Caenorhabditis elegans: one gene and its partner. The protein of the gene in region 2 purifies or fractionates together with the protein of the main gene of each other region. This does not show direct contact. Each region holds a gene or a part of one and is shown on either strand. Other genes may lie near its edges.

Evidence for each region. The genes of interacting proteins can lie anywhere in the genome.
Region 1: the proteins of lec-6 (region 2) and gfi-1 purify together in Caenorhabditis elegans (affinity purification with mass spectrometry, with the first as the bait; 2 studies listed by BioGRID). This does not show direct contact.

The regions. Positions count from the first base shown.
Region 1 is NC_003283.11:6,393,929-6,401,515, reverse strand, and holds the start of gfi-1 (ET module), read left to right. Parts: upstream 1-1,584; 5' UTR 1,585-1,594; coding exon 1,595-1,720; intron 1,721-1,769; coding exon 1,770-1,993; intron 1,994-2,571; coding exon 2,572-7,587.
Region 2 is NC_003281.10:598,993-602,316, forward strand, and holds lec-6 (Galectin), read right to left. Parts: upstream 1,375-3,324; 5' UTR 1,367-1,374; coding exon 1,043-1,366; intron 726-1,042; coding exon 609-725; 3' UTR 518-608; downstream 1-517.

The DNA of each region.
Region 1 (7,587 bases), on a different chromosome or scaffold from region 2:
TTTTTCTCATTTCTTTCATGTACATATGTGCTCTTTTCGCGCATAACTTTTTGTTTGTTCTTTTTTTTTAATTTTCTCCTTTTCTTTGAAGATTCTAAATCTTAATTGTTGAGCGATCTTTACAATAAAATTATTTCTCGACACAAAATAATATTCAAAACAAAAGCATTGCCACTCCATTAAAGGTGGCCTATCACATATCATATTTTGTCGGTCTTCCGTTTTAGCAACAACTAATACATATTGGTATTGAGCGCGTTTAATGGTTGCCACAGTTTTCAATTTTCAATTAATTCAAATTTCAGCTGTATAACCGTGGATTTTTTTAAATTAAACAAAAAATTATTCGAAAATTGCTAAAGGAAGATCGGGAGAAGGCATCGGTCAAAATTTCTCGTACTTCGTTTTTTTTCGCAATTTCCTTACTAATATGATGGAATACTACAGTTTGAAACAATAAACCCACCTTTAGGCCACCTTTAGACTACCTTTAACCCAAAGAAAACAACTTGAAATTAAACAAGAATTGTAGTGTTTTTAACTGATATTTGGCTAACTAAGTTTTTTTGTTGATCTGTTGTCAATATTACACTGGCACTAAAATTACCACAGTGCGCACTATGAAACCCAATTTTTCCAGCATGGAATTTTAAAATATCGATCAATGTTGTTTCAGATACATTATAAAATTTTTAGATTCAAGGCTCTCAAAGAAAGAAATAATTAAATTGAATTTTGATTTTTTGATATTGAAATTTCCTTTCGAATTTCCGTGTTTTATGATCAGTGCTGATAACAAACGAGTGAGATGTGGCAAAAGGTAAACAAAACAATAAGTGGTGTAGTTTTGGAATGTCAGTAAGCGTTTCTGAAATTACCTGATTTTATGGAAATGGGTGTATTTTTCCCACAAACTGCTCAAACTGGCATACTGTACTCAACTAGATAGAAGCTAAAAATCGAATAGCCCCAGCGGGAAAATTCTTAAAATTTAGATAAAATAACCAAATTATTACTTACATCGTAGTTTCACAGTATTTATGGTTAAAAAAATCTGAAAACAAATTCCGCATCCCTGTGGGCTTTTTTGAGTTTTTCAGTCAAGTTTTCTCGCACTTTCTCTTGTCTGTACTTTCCCTTTCATATTCTTACTAATATGACCGAGTACTGTAGTTCGAGACAATAAACCCACAAGACCACCTTTGAATCAACGAATTGACGCAAAAATGTGCAATAAAACCAAATTTCCTGCTCCAAATGCCTTTTTGAAGCTCTTTTTCTTTGTTTGTTTCTTTTGCAGCTGAAGTCAATAATTTTGTATTCTGCTTCACAAGTTTCGCCTTCAAGGTTCTGAGAATCCACCCACTTTGTGTTTTATCGAAACTACAGTTAACAAGGACCGATTGCCGATTATGAACCAATTTCGACAATTTTGACATTATAAGAGGCTTAATTCACTCAATTTACATTAGTCAGGTACTCAATTTCTTCTTTCCGCTCGGAGAAGTCGCACTCATGTTTTAACAATCATTTTCCTATTCTTCATTTGTTGAAATTGAATATTTAATTTGCCACTAACACATTCAAATTTCAGATGCGCTTGGGCATTTTCCTGCTGGCACTTGCCGGCTGTTGTAGTTTCGCTAGTGCTAAACAAAACTGCTTAGTCGGAAATCTAATTGTATCGGAAAATGTTATTACATCAAAGTCTGTTGAATTGGTACGTCCAACCGATATAAATTCTATATTTTTCCATTTGACTACTTCAGAGAGAATGCGAAGGATTGTGCAGAAAACAAACTGTCAAATCTCCAAGCGGAGGACTTGTTCTCTTGACATGCGAAGAGAACAAGCTCATGGCTTTCATTAACAAAGGACAGGATTGCTCCAGCAGTGAGCTTGAGACATCATGCTTCTGCGAGGATGAGTTGTGTAACAAGGTCGACTTGGAAGAAAATATTCCAAAGCCAATCGAAGTTATTAATGCCCCAAAGTGAGTTTTGTTATCACTGTTTTTTTGACAACTGATAGGAATTGAGGTGTATATCTTCTTTCTTTCTTTTTCAAAAAAAAATGGACCAATTCATTCAATTATTGGATTAAAAGATCTGTATGAGTACCAAAACAACAATTTTTCATCTTGAGTGTTTCATTAACACTTTTTCAAGCAAATGCAATTTGAGAATGTGTACCTTCAAATTCGTTGATTTAAAAAAAAAACTCTCATAAAATATTGTAATTTGAAAACTGCAAAAACCAGTCCAAAATTCCAAAGCTTTATTTTGCTATATTTAATCCAATTTCAATTTGTGACTACAGTCAACGTCAAACTGATAACAATAATGGAATAATTGTTTTACATTTGGGCGCGCTTCTTATCTGATTGTGCCAATAGCGCATGCAACACAACCATGAAATGTGGCTCGATAGCTCCTCGGCATTTAAATTCCGAAATACCAATCGTGTGATAAGAAACTGATACATATGTAGTATATTTTTGGCGATCGCCAAAATTTTCCTAGGAGGAAAATCAAAGAAAAATAGTAAAATACTGATTTTGTGTGTTTGCAGCAATATCCTCTGCTACGTCGGATTCTATGCCAACAACACTACTCCAGGATTCGGATCAGGGGACACCGTCACTTGCTCCGCAGGAAATGTATGTACCAGTGTTTCTGGAGTCTACAACGGATACGACGCTGCTGCCTACGCTTGCATGCCACAAGGACTTTGCGACGGCATCTTCCCAAATATTGACCCAAATAATCCAATCGCCTGCACCAATCTCGCTGGAACCAACATTCAAGGATGCTGCTGTTACAAGCAAGATTGTACTAGCCTCGCTCCAATGAACAACCCACCAACTCCATCTCCATGGAACAAGAACAACCAGACATGCTATCAAGGAATTTCCGTCAACGGAGCTCTCTTGTATGGAGGATCCTTCTCTCAATGCTTGGGAGAATGCGGATCTGCTCGTATTCGTACCACTTACAATGGAGCCAATGTATGGGGAGAGATCTTCGTTTGCGACCCAGTCAACGTCTTCACTGCTTTGAACCTCGACAGCGGATGCATGAACCTTGACACCCAAAACATCAATGGAGTCCCAACCGCTCTCATCACCGGCTGTGCCTGCAACAGCATGGACAAATGTATTGACCCAACTGTTGTTCCACCAGTCTACCCAGTCAAGCAGCTCAGATGCGCTGTCGGACTTTACAATGGAACAACCTGGCTCGGAGCTGAAATGAACTGCCAAGGACGATGTGGACGTGTCAGGTTCAATGCCAACGGACAACAAGTTTCATACTTCACTTGCATGCCATACGATGTCTGCGCTGGATTCGGACTTGCTTCCACTGAAGGACAAACCTACAATCCACCACAAGACGAGGAACTTGAGGTGTACTGCTGCTCTGCTAGCAACAACTGCAACGTTAACAATCCATACATTCTCGGACGTGTGAATAACTCTGCTGTGTCTACCGCCAAGTATCCAGTTCTCTGCTACGGAGGAATCTGGGTTAACGGAGTTTCCATCACCAACTCTGCTTACGGACTCTGCCAAGGAGAGTGTGCTTCAGCTAGCTTCACCACCACCTTCGCCAACCAAGTTCACAATGCTACCATCTACACTTGCGATCCAGTCACAATGTGCCAACAAGCCGGAATCTCCAACTCTTGCGGAAGCGTTCTTGGAGGAGTCAATGCTTGCTGTTGCGACAATGATCTTTGCATTGATCCAAACAGAGGATCTCAACGCCCACAACTTCGTTGCTATTCTGGAGTTTCTATTCCACAAGACAAATACAACACTGGAGGAGACCAATTCTGTGATGGATGGTGCGGATCCTTGAACTCTGTTGTCAACGGAAAGAACGCAACTGTCTACTACTGCGCCCCAGTTGGAATGTGCCGCTACTTCGGACTCGGATTCGGAGGATCTTACGGAAACTGTGGACAAATCCCAGGAGCTGACCCACAAGTCACTGGATGCTGCTGCTCAGAAACTGACAACTGTCTTGCCCCAGCTGGAGTCAACGTCACTGCCATCCCAGCTCGTCGTGACCCAAGAATTGTCTGCTACGAAGGAATCCATCTCAACGGACAAAACATCAGCCAGCCTTACTACCGCATGTGCGACGGAGAATGTGTGTCTGTTTCCCTTGGAGGAACCGTCAATAACAACTCTCACTACGCTACTCTCTACACCTGCGATCCAAGCAGTGCCTGTGCCGCGATGGGACTTCGTAACAACTGCTCCACCATTGACAACTCTCTCACTGCTTGCTGCTGTGACTCCAATGAGTGTATTGATCCAACCTACAACCGTGTTCCAGGAAAAGCTCTCAAATGCTACGTCGGTATCAGCACCCAGCACAAGGGAAACATCGCAGGAGCTGAAGTTCTTTGCGACGGATATTGTGCCACCGTTTCCGCTGTTGTCGGATCCGACTATGTCACCGCCTTCCATTGCGCTCCAAGATCTATGTGCCGTTCCCTTGGACTTGACAACTCGAACAACACTTTCTACTTGGACAGATTCGTCAACGCGTACTGCTGTGATGTCTTCGACAACTGCAACGTTGCTACGTCTGGATTCAACGTCACCATTCCACCACTTGCACCAAATGAGATGCCACGCGCTTGCTATTCTGGAATTTTCATTGGAGGAAGCCAAATCTCTGACGGAGGATGGACTGCTTGCAAGGGAGATTGTGTTGCTGTCAACTTGAACACCACATACAACGGAGTTGCTACCACTGCTTCTCTTTACACGTGTGACCCATCTTACATCTGCAGAATGATGAACTCAACAAACAGATGCCACCAACAAGAACAAGGATTCGAGACTTGCTGCTGTGACAGCGATGCTTGCCTCGATCCAACATCCACCCCACCACGTAAACCATATGGAGATGGAAACCTCTGTTACGTCGGAGCTTACTCCTATGATTTGAAGGGAAATACCATCTTCAATGCCGGAGGAGAACAATACTGCGAAGGAAACTGCGCATCTGTTACTTCAACACTTGCCAACGCTAACGTCACTGTTTACGCTTGTGTCCCAACATACGTCTGTAACAGCTTGTACGTCTATGACAGCTGCCGCACACTCTGGTATGATAGAGATATCACTGGATGTTGTTGTACCAATGGACCTAACTGCAACTTGAATCAAGTTGTTCCAAGACCTCCAATCAACAATCCCGGAAGAAGACGTCCACGTGTTGAATATCCAATCACCTGCCCAGCTGGTCTTATCGTTGACGGATTCAACCAAACTCCAATGGAATTCTCCGTTTGCTTCGGTGAATGTGCCTCTGTCAGCATCAATGCTACGATCAACGGAACTTTGCACACGGCTTCCTTCTACACTTGTGATCCATCGTCTGTCTGCTACCAACTTAAAGTTCATAACAACTGTACTTCCCCAGAAGCTGGAGTCACCGCTTGCTGCTGCGACAGTGATGCTTGCCTCGATCCGAACAGAGGAAAGACCGTTCCAACTCCACCACTCAAGTGCTACGTCGGGCTCTATTCTACCAGCGTGCCATCACTTCAAACCGGAGCTGAACAACTCTGTGACGGCAAGTGTGCCTCGGTTAACGCTCGCATTGCCAATGACAACGTGACCCTCTTCGCTTGTGTTCCACACTCTCTATGCCGTTCCCTCGAGCTCTACGATTCCTGCGCCCGCATGGAGCCATACTACCCAGAATTCCGAGCTTGCTGCTGTGACAATGCTGATAACTGCAACGTTCGACAGACCCATCTTGCCAACGTGATCAACACCACCATTCCACTCACTCCACTCAATGATGCTCCAATATCTTGCTACTCCGGACTTTTCATCAACGGAACCGCTTACAGCTCGGCTGGATGGCAGACTTGCCAAGGAGAGTGTGTCTCAGTATCCATCACATCTCAATTCAATGGACAAGCCGGAACCGCTGCTCTTTACACCTGCGATCCATCCCGCGTTTGCCGTAATTTGAAAATTCTGAACAAGTGCTCCACTCTTGAGAACGGAATTACCGGCTGCTGCTGTAACACCAATGCCTGTATTGATCCAACAGTCTATCCAGCTCGTAACCCAGGAAACCAACTTATGTGCTATGCTGGTATCAGCTCGAACTACATTGTTAATGGAAGCGCAGTTAACGTTGGAGCTCAAATTCCATGTAACGGACAATGCTCATCCCTCTCAGGAGTTGTCGGTGGATTCCAAGTCAACACCTATCACTGCATGCCAAACTCGATCTGTAACTCCCTTGAACTCTACGACAACTGCAAACCAGTTTGGAATGACAACCAAGTCACTGGATGCTGCTGTAACAATGCCAACAACTGTAACATTGCCAATACCACCATCACTCCACCACCACCACCAACTTCAGTCGACTATGCTATTGCTTGCTACACTGGACTTTATGTCAACGGTGTTCCATCTACTCCAGTCATTCTCGGAGCTTGCCAGGGACAATGTGCGTCCATCTCATTGAACACTACACTCAACGGAGTTGCCACCACAGCAACTCTTTACGGATGCGACCCAAGCACTGTTTGCCAATCTCTCAACATGAACAACTGGTGTGCCTCCCCAATCCCAGGAGTCTCCGGATGCTGCTGTAACACTGATCTCTGCCTTGATCCACCAAAGAACAAGACTGTACCATCTGGATTCCGCAAGTGCTTCGCTGGAATCTACGCTCAAGGAAAGGCCACTGGATCTGAAATCTTCTGCCCAGGAAAGTGCGCCTCAATTCAAGCTACCCTCAACCAAGACCCAGTTGCTATCTTCGGATGCGTGCCAACCCAATTCTGCAGACAACTCGAGATGTACGACGAGTGCAAACCACTTCCATATGATACCACAGTTACGGGATGCTGCTGCGACAACTACAACAACTGCAACGTCGATTTGGCTGGATATGGTGGAAAGATCAATACTTCAATGCCAGTTACGAACTTCCGTGATTATCCAATCGCTTGCTTCTCTGGTCTTTACGTCAATAACATGCCAATTTCCATCGCTGGTTGGCAAGCATGTAAGGGAGAATGCGCTTCTGCTACTCTCTCAACCATGTACAATGGAGCTCTCACCAACGCTACAATTTACACTTGCGATCCAGTCAGCACATGCTATCAACTTGGAATGAACAACAATTGTACTACCATTGAGAATGGACTTTCCGGATGCTGCTGTTCTACCGATGCTTGCCTCGACCCAACTGTTTCTCCACCACGTACTCCTAACCCACTCAAGTGCTACGTTGGTCTACAATCTACCTACAATTCGTTGAGCCTCGGAGCTGAGACCTATTGTTCCGGACAATGCGCTTCATTGACTGGAATCGTCGGAGGTTTCAATGTCACTACTTATCACTGTGTTGCTGATACTATCTGCAAATCTCTTGAGATTAAGGATACTTGTCGTCCACTTTGGAGTGACAGAGAAGTCACTGCCTGCTGCTGTAACAACGCGGACAACTGCAACCTCAAGGATCCAAATGTGAAACCAGGACCAGCAGTTCTTCCAGATTTCCCAACTGCTTGCTACCAGGGACTCCTTGTCAACAA
Region 2 (3,324 bases):
TTGGCTGGAAAATAGACAAAAACGAAGAGAAAATGAAAAAAAATAATTCAAATAAATTTTGTGCGTCAAATAAGGTGCCCGGTCCGCAGCCACAGTGTTTGCACCGAACAGGAACTACAGTACCCTAAAATAGTATTTTCCTCGATTTCAGTTTTTGAAACTTGCTTTAAATGAACGAGTGGATATAAAATAGAAAATAAAGCTTTATTAAAAGAAAATAAGTGAAAATCTGATTAAGAATTTTCAAAAAAAAATCTTTTCCGAAGAATAAATCGAATTCCTTCACTATTTTTTCGAGATAAGAAGTTTTAAGAGAAAATGCCCTTTGGAACTAAGTAATGATTAAAAAGTATTAGGGGACGCTAAGCACGCTAAAACTGATGCTTCATAATAATAAACTATGAATTATCAACTTTATAGCGGTGACCTCTACCATTACTGCCGAAATTGCGCGTAAAATATGGCGCTTCGACTCAGTGTCTGCGAATCCATTTTTCGGAATTTAGAAAATAGAAATATTCAAAACCAAGGTTTATTGATATGAAATTTGCACAAAAATTCAAAATGTATCATAAAGAAAGAGTATTTTAAACCAAAAATTAAATAAATTAGTGAGAAACATGGGCGGAATGAACATGAACTCCTCCCTCGATCTCAATGAGATGGACTCCGTGGGATGGAGTACGCTCGACAAAGTCAGCGAAGTGGGCTCCGTTGACGAAGATCTGAAAAATATAATAGTTTAAAGATTAAGTTTCAGTAGGTGAACAGGGCTCGAAATCCAATGCTCATCAGAGATGGGAGTACGAAAAATCAAACTTTTCCACGTGGTGTCGAAGTGTCCCATTTTGGTGTGATCTTCAAAAAATGCGGCCGAAGAGGCGCTGACTTCTCAACTGATTTCGCATGATTAAGAGTGTGCTGATGTCACGAAAAATTCCCTCATTTTTTGTAGATCAAACCGCAACGAGACAGTCTGGCACCACGTGCTTTGCACGAACACAGTCCGCCTTAACATTCTTAAGCCCAGAATCCAACTAACCGAGATAATTCCACCGTTGGACACAAACTCCAGAGTGTAGATCTTGTTCTGCTGGAATGGATTGGCGTGACGATCCTCGGATTGCCAACCTCCTCCGCTGGTCGAGTTGTTCACAACAGCTCCCTCATCGAATCTAGCGTTGAAGTGAAGAACAATGTCGTCTGGAGTGCGAAGATTGATGTGGAAACGAGAATCGGCGGATGTTGGGAGAAGAACGAGACGGAGGCGAGCACCGTTGGAGAATCCTTGCACTGGGATGTTCACTGGGGTTTGTGGGTTGAAGAATTCGTTGCGGAAGCTGATTCCGATTCCTCCTCCGATCATGGTTGATTCTGAAATCAACTGTGTGAGTTGGGAAGGGAAACATGTTAGGAGCAATACTAAGACCACTATTCGTATAAAATGTACATCTATGAGAATTGTAAGCTGATTCTTTGGCTCTAAATCGCATGTTTTATCACTAGGTGATGTAAAATGTCTAAAGATCGAAAAGCCGAGTAGTTTGAAAGTTGATAAGAGCGTATGAAAAACCCTCGGCAAAGTAAACAATTCTCGGTGTCTACTGGGGGAAAATGTTCAACGAAAAAAAAATAGAAATTGGGCAATAAATGTAAACAATCCTCATCTATTTATACATCACAGAATGGGCGGATTCTTGCCTATGAGTCATCAAATACGATTCTAGAGAATTCCTTACTACATGAATCATGGAAAAAAAGGCTTGAGTACATTGTACACCTGCCATCGTCTCTTATAAGCAGTGTTTCTTATCAACTTATTGATGAGTTGGCATATGCTCCGCCTCGAACTATTTCGATGATAAGTTGCTTGTTTACTGAACTGAAAAAGGCTTTTCGATGAAAAATTCAGCCCGGCATAAAGAATGTCACGAGTTAGTTTGGAAATTAAGATGTGTGCTGATAAACGTCAAGAGAGGAAGTAGTGATAAAATTCTAGAGTTTTAACAAATTTGCAAAATCTCTGAATTGTTTTATTTTAGGAGTTTTTCAACCTAAATTCGTATTTTAGTTATTTAATTGTTCCTCGTTCCACACGTCACCATTTACAACCCTTATTATCGAAGTGCCAAGTTACAGGGAGAACTTGGTACATACCAGCTCACCAAGAAAAACCGATCAATAATGTAATAAAACCCGCTGACATTGAAGACAGAAGATACCGCAATTTTCTTTAATAGCTTGGGTTTTTATTAGCGCTAAACAATATATAACGTGGCAGTTTTTTTAATGCTGACTTATAAATAGTACTTTTCCTTTCAATGAATCTTCAGAGAATTTCAATGTGGCATTTTCTTAAAATCTTCCTCCGTTAAGCCATATTGCAATTGTATGTGGTAAACTTTCCAATACTATAAAAATTGAACTTTTAAAAACTTCTGAAACTTGAGTTTACAGTAACTTAAAGCTTAAAGGTGGAGTACCGAAATCTGAGACTTTGCTTTTTAGGCTCAAAACTACCGCATATCGTAATGAGACATCTTGAAAATTTCTCAACACGTTATGGCAGTTCAAAAATCTGGAAAAAGGTCCACTTTCAGCTAAAATCAAATTGTTTCCAACTTCTCGGTGTCGCTGCGTCTGGAAGTTAATTTGTATTTAATTACCACTTTCTAATAAATAATGTGATCGTTTAATGCGCATTTATTCGTTGGTTTAAGTACATTTTCGGCCAGTGGGGCACAAATAAAAGCTATGTTTTTGTGCCCCAATGACCGAAAATGCACTTTAATCAAACAATAAACTCCTAATAAAAAACCACAATATTTATCAAAGAATGAAAATTTTATTTTAGCTGAAAATGGGTCTGTTTTTCCAGAACTTTGAACCGCCATAATTTTTTTTTGCGAAGTTTTGAAAACGTCTCATTACGAAATTCGGTAGTTTTGGGCTATTTTGGGTCTAAAAACAAAGTCTCTGATTTCGGTACTCCACCTTTAAGATTTTCAAGTATACCCAGGAGCCACGTGTCCGTAAAAGTTCAATGATGGCATTTCCGGCTAGTAGTGATGTAATTTAGTCATGAAGCTGATTTTTTCTCCTCAATAATTTTGATGATTAATTATTGATAAGGAAAATGTCAAACAATTTGACGATTACCAGAAAGTTATTTTTCTACAATTCATGAATATCGGTTAAATTTGAGTAATCATTTTCTTCGTATGGAGCATGGGAAATTATTTAGACCTTTGCAAATTCAATTTTTTTTAAAAGCATTGTTAATTACCATCGTATTCCAATTTGATTCTAGACTACTATCAAACT